2 linked regions of the Oryctolagus cuniculus genome follow. The protein of the gene in region 1 interacts with the protein of each later gene in a biochemical or structural test. Links are inferred from orthologs where the notes say so. Each region holds a gene or a part of one and is shown on either strand. Other genes may lie near its edges.

What was found.
Region 2: the proteins of PPFIA1 (region 1) and GIT1 form a complex in vitro, tested with the Homo sapiens proteins (2 studies listed by BioGRID). The link is inferred for Oryctolagus cuniculus from reciprocal best matches to the Homo sapiens genes PPFIA1 and GIT1.

Annotation. Positions count from the first base shown.
Region 1 is NC_091432.1:2,221,866-2,227,319, reverse strand, and holds the start of PPFIA1 (liprin-alpha-1), read right to left. Parts: upstream 3,592-5,454; 5' UTR 3,386-3,591; intron 2,657-3,385; exon of another isoform or gene 2,636-2,656; intron 2,441-2,635; coding exon 2,177-2,440; intron 1-2,176. UniProt on the Homo sapiens protein: May regulate the disassembly of focal adhesions. May localize receptor-like tyrosine phosphatases type 2A at specific sites on the plasma membrane, possibly regulating their interaction with the extracellular environment and their association with substrates.
Region 2 is NC_091448.1:45,041,715-45,046,516, forward strand, and holds part of GIT1 (ARF GTPase-activating protein GIT1), read right to left. Parts: intron 3,967-4,802; coding exon 3,749-3,966; intron 3,666-3,748; coding exon 3,571-3,665; intron 3,235-3,570; coding exon 3,192-3,234; intron 1,732-3,191; coding exon 1,705-1,731; intron 1,566-1,704; coding exon 1,517-1,565; intron 1,183-1,516; coding exon 1,110-1,182; intron 805-1,109; coding exon 707-804; intron 458-706; coding exon 346-457; intron 268-345; coding exon 134-267; intron 30-133; coding exon 1-29. UniProt on the Homo sapiens protein: GTPase-activating protein for ADP ribosylation factor family members, including ARF1.

The DNA of each region.
Region 1 (5,454 bases):
AGGTGTATGTAGCCTGTGACGAGAAGTCAAGCCCATGGCCATCTCCAGGGACAGCTGCTGGGAGCGGGCGGGAGGGCTTCCCAGGAACCCGTTTCAGTCCGGTTCTGCTGCCGTAACAGCACAGACCAGGTGACTCAGAGAGCCTTATTTCTCACTGTTCTAGACACCGCAAGTCCAAGAGCATCACGCTAGCATCTGACCTGGGCCTTGATGCTGCCTCCTCTCAAGGCAGAAGGGCAGGTGGCCAGGTAACACAGAGAGGATGAGGGCCACCCCACTCCCATAGTGACTAACCCACTCCGACAACTACCCCACCCCCAATAACCCGCTCCCATAGTGACTAACCTGCCCTCATGATGGCTAACCAACTCTCACAACAACCCGCTTCCACACAGCCTGCTCCCATGATAACTAACCCCTCACACAATAACCCGCTCCCATAACTAACCCGCCCTCATGATGGCGAACCTGCTCTCACGATAACTAACCTGCTCCCACAGTGACGTCCTCAATCCATGATGAGGGCGGAGCCCGGGCCTGACCTGACCACGTCTCCCAGGTCCCCAGTACTACACGCAGCCAGCAAATCTCGGCAGGCGGTCGGGAGGACGTCCGACCTCAGCCCCGGCAGCGCCCAGGCTCTGGGTGAGGGCGCTGATTCTGGACGGCGCTGCCTGTGAAATCCACCGAGATGGACACTTCCGATCGGGGAAGCCTTCTGACGCAGGCGGCAGCTATGTTTTCTGTAGCATTCTCCGGCTTGCTTATCTGGCCACACAATTAGCCAGCGAAGCCCAGCCAGATTCCAGGAAGAGAGAAGGAACAAAACAAGTCCCCTGGCTGCTTTCGGCGGTGCTGCAATCAGGCGCTGACGTGAACCGGCGGCGTCACCTTCAGCCAACCAGGCCTCTCCAGAAAGATCCCGGGCGCCGCCGCCCGCGGAGGCTCCGTGTGCCACACACTGCCACCGGCCTGCTCTCCTGCGTGCCCCCACCCGGTAACTACCTCATCAAACACCCGCGTGTCGGACGCACTGTCGTGGGTGCCGTATCCATGACCAAAACACGAAACTGCGGAAAAGACCTACAAGCACGTACAGTAAAATCCCGCACAACACGGGCCGGCCAATTCTTTGACGTTTTTGGCATTAAAATCTGACCTAAACAAAGTTGGTAGTTTATAAGACTTGAAAGAGAAAAATCTTAATGAATTCTCTAACGCACAACAAACCACTAACATCGAGTTGCGATGGCTAAAAAGGAACTCTGAATGTCTGCTCGTCGTGTTCAGGACGGCCGAGGACGGCCGAGAAGGGCACCGGGGCAGCAGTCCTGCACCTGCTCACTCGTCAGAGCGCCCTGGAGCCACCGCGAAGGCACCTCTATGGATAAGGAACGCGGCATGCAGACAGCTCGCGGACCCCCAGCAACCACGCATCCCCACTGTGCTCTGGGCGGCCCACCCGCCCTCGTCTCCTTCCCCTACCACTGAACCCCACTCAGCTCCGCAGGACACGCCCTGAGAGGTCAAACAGCCTCAGCTGTTTCAAGTTCCCCTGGGGTCAACCTCCAGTCTCCCAGCTCCTGAAACAAACCTGACCCACAAAACACAGCTGTCCAGTCCAGGGCAAAGCCCAGCTGTCTGTCTACCAGACGCCTCAGGGGAACTGCAGGTCGGTGGGACAGAATCCGCAGGAAATTCACACTCTGCATGGAAAGCCCAGAGACGGCAGACGGAGAGGGCTGCCCACGCCAGGCCCGAGCAACATGGGAGGACGGAGAGGGCTGCCCACACCCAGGCCCGAGGACAGAGGGCGCTGTCCACGTCAGACCCGGAGACGGGAGGACGGAGGGCACTGTCCACACCAGGCCCGAGCGAGACGGGAGGACGGAGGGCGCTGGCCACGCCAGGCCCGAGCGCGGAAAGGCAGGGCGCGGCTGCTGTCCCGAGGAGCTGGCCCCGAGCAACGCTGCGGCAAGCACAACCGTCAGCAGCCGCGGCCACAGCCGCCCGGAGCCGCGCCGCGCCATGGCCACAGCGGCCCGGAGCCGCGCCGCGCCACGCCATGGCCACAGCGGCCCGGAGCCGCGCCGCGCCACGCCATGGCCACAGCGGCCCGGAGCCGCGCCGCGCCATGGCCACAGCGGCCCGGAGCCGCGCCGCAGGGCGCCCTCACCTGCGGCAGCGCGGTGTTGAGCTGCCTCTGCAGAGAGTCCCTCTCGTGGCCGACCTCGTGCAGCTTGCCCTGCGTCAGCGCCAGCGTCTCCTGGGTCTCTCTCAGCGTGTCCAGAAGACGGTCCCTCTCTTCCAGCATGGACACCATCAGCTGCTCGAAGTGCGAGTCGGCGTCGGGCTGGGCCGGGGAGCCGGCCCCATGGCTCCCGCTGCCTCCCGGGGGGCCTTCTGCCTCACTGATGGTCGGCATCACCTCACACATCATCTGCAAGACAGGCAGCAGCCCGGTCATCCGGGGCACACACCTGCACCCGGCTGTCCCCACTCCCAGTCCTGCCTGCTTGCAGGGGGTCGGCAGAGACGCCCGGGGCCGCGACCAGCGAGGACCCAGAGCGGACCCAGAGCGGCCCGCGGGGTGCTGTGCCCGCAAGGCTCCGCTCTCTCCGCGTGCTTCTGGTACCTGACTTTCCTGCCGCCCGGCTCGGGGCCGGGGCAGGAAGGGCAGAGAGGGGGCATCGCACGGGAACGCGTGCGGTCGGCTCGCGAATGCCGGGCTGCACCTGGGAACCGGGTCCGGGGAGGGCGGGCAGAGGTGTTTCTCCGCGGCTGCCGTGGTTGGTCAGTCAACCTCGCTTACGTCAGTTTACAGCCCAAAAAAAATAAACCTGGGGGAGGCGGGGGTGGAAATTCCACGCGGGACGGCCAGCGAGGAAGCCAGGAAAAGTGAAAGGCGAGCTGACCAGAGGCTATTAGGTGTCTCCGGCGGAAAGGCCGGGCACCGCTCCGGAGGCTGCCGGGGCACCGCGACCCCCGAGAGCCAGCAGCCCAGCGCCGCGCACCTGGCGGGCGCCGGCCACCGCCAACCGCTCGCACCTCCGTCCCCTCCCGCGTCAGGTGCCGCACAAGCCCCAGCACCCGGGGGTGCTCGGAGCCCCTGGGACAAGGCCCGCCCGCCGTGGCCACAGGTCCTCGCCCCTGCCCCCGGCGCTGGGGTCACCACGGCGCCGCGGTCAGCGCGCGGCCCCCAGGGCTGAGCCCCCCGGGGAGCAGCGGGGCGCCGAGCTGGGTGGGGGCTCCCCGCCGAGGGCCGCGCCCCCAGCCGCGCCCCCGCGGCGTCCCGGCCCCCCAGGTGACACTCCGTCCGCGGGGACGGCCCGGCCGGCGCCGGGCGCCCCGGGCCCCGCGCCCGCCTCAGCCCCCCGCTCCTCACCTTGCTGGCCGGCGGCAGCGGGCGACGAGGCTCCGCGGCGGCTCGCTGCGGGCGAGCTCAGGGGCCGACGAAGGCAGCCGCGGGCAGCTCGCGCCCGCCCGCCCCACGCCGCGGCCCCGCGGCCCGCCGCCCGTCACGAAGGCCGGCCAGCGGCCGGACACTGGCGGAGCGCAGGAGGAGCGGGCCCGGCTGCGCGTCGCCGGCGTCAACGTGCCCGACGTCCGGCGCGTCGGCGCGAGCGTCAGCACCGCCCCGGGGGAGGGGCCCCGGGGCGCCGCGGCCGCGAGTGCGCAGGCGCCGCGGCCTCGGGAGGCAGTGGGCGGGGCCGCTAGGGCGCCGATTGGCTGGGCGTTGCGGAGGCTCCGCCCCGCCCCGCCCCGCCCACACGGGTCCCCGGGCGGAGCCACAGGTGGGAGCCGCGGAGCCAGGTGGCCGCTGTAGCTTCCGCCTGCGTGCTGCCCCCGAGTCTCCCGCAGCCGTGCGAGCGCGGGAGGCCTTTGCCCCCGCGCCGGCGGTGTGCCAGGTCCCGAGCCAGAGCTCCCCGGACGTCACGTCGGCGCTCCGCTCCCGGGGCTGGCGCTGCTACTCGCCACCTTGCGTGAGAGCGAACCGCGACCTCCGACGCCCGCTGACAGCCGGGCCCGGACCCCGCCGCGTCGGTCCCGGAGCGGCCCCGGGCGGATCCTTACAGGGCGGGCGGGACGCGGCGGCCCCGCCAGACCCACGTTCCGACGCTACATGCCGCACCTGGGGCGGCCAAGACCAGCAGCGTCGGATTTCGAGGCTCACGGGCGCCGTGCGGGGACGTGCAGGCTTCGCAGGCACGGCTGGTTCAGCCACCGGCCGCTCCTGTCCCTGGACAGCTCCGGGATGCAGGACCTGCGCCGTGGGAGGCACCTCCGAGCTGCCCTCGGGGGCCGGGCCTTTGAGAGCCCAGCAGGTGCGGAACCGGGCAGGGGAAGCCCTCCTGCGAGTCGTGCGTGACCAGTCACCCTTTCCGCAAGCGCCTAAAAAAGCGCCTGCCGCGTGCCACATCCCACGCAAAAGTGGCGGGTCCCAGCGTTCAGGAACGCACGCGTGCCCGCCCCCTGCACGGTCGGGCGCAGAGAGCGCAAGGTCTTCATAAACCAAAACGATAGGGCAGCGGCTGCGGCCCCACTGGCCTCTGGGTGCTGGTGTGCAGCCAGGAGCCGCACCCGAACCCTCCAGGTGATCCCTCGAATCTCCATGGGTCAGACCACCTAGAACAAGCACTGGGTGACCAGGGACCACACACGAACCCGAATCTGCATCTCTGCCCCAGCTCTTTGCCATGTTAAAATTGTACAAAAAAAAAAAAAAAAAAAAAAAAAACCACCACTTAGGTCTGCGATTCTGCAGGGGTGCAGGGGTGCCCGGTTCTCCGAACCAGGGTCTGGATCACTGATTTGCAGCTCTCCTGAGGGTCAGCGGCTCAGCGCACCCAGCCCGTGTTTGCCCATGGCTCACCACGGCGCCGCCTCCTTGGAAACGGGCACCGAAATGAAATGTGGTTCTGCCATGGGGAGCCTGCATCGGATTCATGAACACGTGTGGGACATGTGTGAGCGGGGGATGGCCCGGGTCTAGGAACACGGAAGTGGCCTGGGCCTGCGGGGGGCGGAGAGAACCCCACTGCAATGGTGTCTGCTGGGGGTGGGGGGGACCTGGTGCTGCAGAACCAGCTCGGCGCCACGGCGGGCCTCACGGCGGAGGCAGGTCTCAGCCACAGAAAGCAGAAACCCACTGGGGCTTACGGGAAAGCGGCCATTTGGCTCCCGGAAGACGAGAATCTCGGGTTACATTCGTTTTCATTCATCCATTTCATTCATCCAGATGACAGAATGGTAAGAGGAAAGCTGTGACAGCCAAATGGCTTGCAGAAGAGAGATTGGTTAAATCCTGTGTACTTCCAAATGGCAGGAAACTTGGTAGCATTCACTTGGCGGGGCCAAATGGAAGCCGGGAGCCAGGAGCTCCGTCCAGGTCTCCCACGTGGGTGGCAGGGACCTAATTACTTGGGCCATCACGGATGCCTCCCGGGGGTCTGC
Region 2 (4,802 bases), on another chromosome or scaffold:
CCGTCCGACAGGTCCGAGGAGTCCATGCTCTGTGGGGAGACACGCCGGCCGTCAGCCCTCGGGCGCAGCCCGGGGCTCCGGCGATCCCTGCGCTGGGAGGAGGTAGAGCTGGGGCCGGGGGCAGTGCTCAGACCCGGGCGCGGTTGTTCCGGGTGGCGCCGGCACTGCGCAGGGGCTCCTGGTCCGTGTCCTCGTCAGAGGCTACGCTGTCGTAGTCGTGCTGGTCGTCCAGGTCGCTCTGGCTCCGTGCAGACAGCTCGAGGTGGTCTGAGGGCACAGGGCCTGTCACTCGGGGCGCCTCCCCTGGGCTGTCTCCCCAGGCAGGGGGAGCCGCGCCCGCCGCACCTGTCGGGCTGCTCAGGCTCTTTCCCTGCTGCCTCCGCTTGGCCTCGCTGAGAATGTCGATGATCAAGGTGGCAAACTCGCGGGCGTTGAAGCGGGCCAACTTCTGTCGCCCCTGCAAGGCAGGGAAGACCACGCTGACCCCTAACTGGCAGTGACGGGGCCGCCAGGCACTGCCCTGCCACCCGCCTGAATCAGGGCTGGTCCGTCAGGGCCCCGCTGGGAAGAGGCCAAGTACTCAAAGTAACAACGTCTTCCTGGTTCCCCAACCCCAGCTCAGCGAGGGGCGAGGGTGGGCAGGAGCCCAGTCCCAGAGCGCTGAGGAAGGGCAGGGCTCCTGGGGACGGAGAGACCACCCTCTGACCTGATTCCGGGTAGCCGAGTACTCCGGGTTAACCGGCAGGAAGGGCACGGCGCTGCGCTCCGTCACCAGTGTGCTGTGGTTCTGGGTGGCCAGCCACACTGTGGGGGAGGGACAGAGAGGCCATCAGCATGGTGGCCGGGCCTCCCCATGCCCACCGAGCCTGCTCAACAGAGCGGTAGGCTTATGCAGGATGAGGCTGGCGGGGGACTAGGCACAGAACAACGCCCACCCCGCCCTCCATCCAGCAGCCCCAGTTCAGGCTGGAATCTGGCTGTGGCCAGGAGGCAGTGACGTGGGGGGCAGAGGGGAGGGAGGAGCGGGGACGCGGCCAGGCACCTCTTCTGGGTTCCACTGAGGGCCCAGCAGGGGAGGCACTCGGGCCGACCGCCATCCCCGAACTTACCCGCGTCATTCTCTCTCCGGTCTACCTCGTCATACACGTCCATGGCAAGCTCTTCAAAAAGCCGGTTGCTGAGCTGGAGGCAGAGAGGGATGAGATTCTGTCAGATCACTGGCCCCAGTGCTGGCCAGGCCAGCTGGCTAGGATGGCGTGAGGCAGGGGAAAGGCTCGTGTCCTTGCTGCCACCCAGCCCCGTGTTCTGAGACCTGGAAAACAAGGCAGGGGCTTGGGTCCAAGCTCCAGGGAGGGCGAGGACAGAAGGGAGCAGGACTACTTGATTCCTCGTAGGTCAGAGGTGGGGCTAAGGCCCTGGGAGCCCTAGCACATGGAAGGCAGAGCCGAGGTCCAAGACAGGAAGGGTGCAGGGGCGGGGGGGGCTAGTGGGGGGCTCCGAGCATCAGGGTGCTCACCGCCTGCAGCTTCTTCTTTGCAGCTTTTGCCAACTCAGACAGGTCCAGGCTGGGGACGAGGAGGGGAGACGCAAGGGAAAGAAGGGCCGTGAGAGGTGGCCAGGCCCCTGTGGTGACCTCCCAGGCATGCAGGGCTCCCAGGCAGACAGGACCGCGACGCCCGCGCCCGCCCGCCACAGCCTCTATACCTCTGAGACATGCACTTTTGCCGAGACCTAAGTCCAGAGGAAGGCAGCAGAGGGAAGAACAGGACAGCAGCTGTTACCCAGCAGCAGGGCCGCTCGCGCCGCCTCGGGAGGAGCTGGCACTCTCGGCACGCACCCCGACCCTGCCTGCTCTGTCTGGGGCCCCTTCACGGGCTCTCGGCTACCTCGGGAGCACCTCGGCATCTCCCGCCCCAGGTGCTGCGCCGTTCCCTCTCGCCTGGGCGCCTTTCCCACCCAGTGGCACCACCCTCACTGTAGGGACCCAACATTCCAACAGTGCACAGGGCACGCCTCAGCCCTGCCTCCACCGAAAGCGAACTTCTAAGTACGGGCTGGATGCCTTGCACGCATCATCTCACTTAATCCTCTCAACAGCTCTGCCAGTCCCTCCTCAGATGAGGTAGCCAAGACGGGCTGAGCGTCCTGCCTCCAGTCCCACAGCCCATGGACGGCACAGCTGAGCCCACACGCCGGGCCTGGAACCCGTCTGCCCTGGGAATGGCCTGGGCTCTTGCCCTGGCTGTGTTCCTGAGACTCCCGCCCCATCCCGGGTGGTATTTCCAACCCCTGTGCCTCCTGCCGTCGGCAAGAGCTGCAGTGACGGGCAGCCTCCCTAGCTGGAGCAAGAGCAGGGAACATGTCAGACATCCGCCTGTGACTGCAGTGCCCAGAGTAGCTGCTGGCTCTGAGAAGGTGCACGGCCCATGTTGCACTGAGCGCGTGCCCACAAGTCGGGCTTTTTGCCGCACACACAAGGCAGAATCAGACCAGAGCAATGGGGAGAGTCTCAGAACAGGACGTCTGGGTTGAGGGATCCCTGCTGCCCAGGCCTGACCCTCTGCATCTGTTCACACCAGCTCCTAGGGGAGGGAGCAAGCTCCTCTCCAGTTACAGCCTGGCAGTGGAACACCGCCGCGGCCAGAGATGGCCACCAGGTGGCACTAGCATGCATCTCCTGAGCTGGATGAGTGCCTGGGGTGTCCTTACCACCTGGGGCTCTCCCAGCCTCTCAGATCAGAGGCGGGAACACCTCACTCAAACCCTGTGCCATGCATGGCCCTTGCCTGATTTCTGAGTGTGCGCCCAGGGCCTGGGCAGTAGCCGCAGAGCGGGTCAATCCCTGGAGCCTACCATCTTTCACTACGGAACAGAGGTTTGTGTAAGGTGGGGTCAGAGCCCAGCAGCCACCCTCCCAGCAGAGAGGCCCTCCTTGTGCCCTGGGCAGTCAAGCGGCTCAGGTGGTGCTGGTCGTGTACTGAGCTGGCAATCCTTACCTGCCGTTGGGCCCAGCATTAGGAGTGAAGACTAGGCTCTGAAATACCTGTGCCTCCAGCCCCCCGACAGGATGGGGGTGGGGTGGGGTCCCAGGCCCCTGAAACCAGGGGAGAGGATGGGGTGGGGCCTCTGGGGGTCAAACGTCCGCATGGCATCCAACAGCCTTTGGGAAGGGGCGTCAGGTGGGCACTCACCTGTCAGCCATCTGTGGGATGATGTAATGCCCATTCTTGTGATCTGAACAAAAATAAAAATGCCAAGTCACTGGTGCTGGGTGGCCTCAGCAGCTGGGAGCCCACCCCACTGCCACAAGCAGGGCTTGGCACCCAGAAGTGTCGGGGGGGAAGGGGGAGGGCAGGCCACCCCAAGAGCGCTGGGAGCTGGCTGGAAGTTAGGCCCACCCCCACTCTCTGGCCCCAACCTGCTGCAGCCCAGAGCCTGCAGCAATTTCACAGGAGCCAGTTGCCTAGCAACACTGTTCCCCAGCCGGCTTTGTCACCATGGCACCTGCTGCTGGGGTGTGTCTGGGTCCCACCTGCCAGGCCCAGCCAGACCTGCCCGTGCTCTGCTCACCCGGCTTACGTCCACAGAGGTAGAAGGCCAGCCGGTCAGTGAGCTCATACTGGCACTCGACTAGCCTTTCCGCCAGTTCATGGTGCCCGGCCTGCCTGTGGGGAGGGGTATGGCTCAGCCCTGCAGCAGCAGCCCACTGCCCCCACCGGCCAGGCCTCACCCCCTGGCCGACCCTCACCTGGCATAGTCGATGGGTGTGCGGCCATTAACGTCGGGGGAGCCAGGGTCAGCCCCGTACACGACCAGCAGCTCTGCCTGCAGCGTCTGCCCTGCCTTGGCAGCCACGTGCAGGGGTGTGGTGCCCTTCTCTGGGTGGAAGAAGTTGGCCTGGGCGCCCAAGGACAGCAGGCGCAGACATGTCTCCAGGTTGCCGGTCCGCACGCTTGAGTGCAGTTGCTGCAAGCAGTGGAGTGTGCAGTAACTGTGCACGCGTGTGCACGAGTCCTGCCCCAAGCTGCCCCTTGCCCCGCTGCTCCCCGCAAGCCCACCAGCTCCAAGGGCCTCAGCCAAAATCTGGCCATGTCAGGGAAGACAGAAGGCTCCCCACCAGGAGTGAATGCCAACGAATAAAAACTGCCTTCAGGGCTGGCACCCGGTGCAGCAGCCAGGATGCGGCCTGGGATGCTCACATCCCCATCCAGAGGGCCTGCTCCAAGTCACAGCTCCTCCACTTAGGAACCAGCTTCCTGCTAATGTACCGAGAGGCTGAAGGGAATGGCTCGAGGTGCCTGGGTCCCGGTCGCCCACATGGGAGACCTGGACTGAGCTCTGGGTTTCTTGCTTAGACCTGGCCCACCCCTGGCTGTTGTAGGCATTTGGGGAGTGAACAAGCAGCTGGGCGATCTCTGTCAGCCTTTCAAATAAATAAAAATAAGATTCAAAAAATCGTAACAACTGCCACAGTCACCAGCCGCTGTGTGCTTGTATGCTCTGCCAGGAAGCCATATCACCTATGAGGTAGTTGCTATTATTTCTTTCCCATTTTACAGATGAGACCACTGAGGCTCTGAGAGCCTTCGCACCTGCCCTTAGCTTCTGAGTGGCAGCTGGGGGACGTTAGCCTCATGTGCACACTCGGGAGCTGAGGCGCCTTGGTCACACACAGCCTGATGGAGCAATCTTGTCCCCTGCTGTGGCCACTGTTTTCCCCTGGCCAGGCAGCCCTAGGGGCCTCGGGCTCACTGGTCATGAAGGAGAGGCCCTCGCGGTGTGTGGGGGTGGGAAGCAGAGGC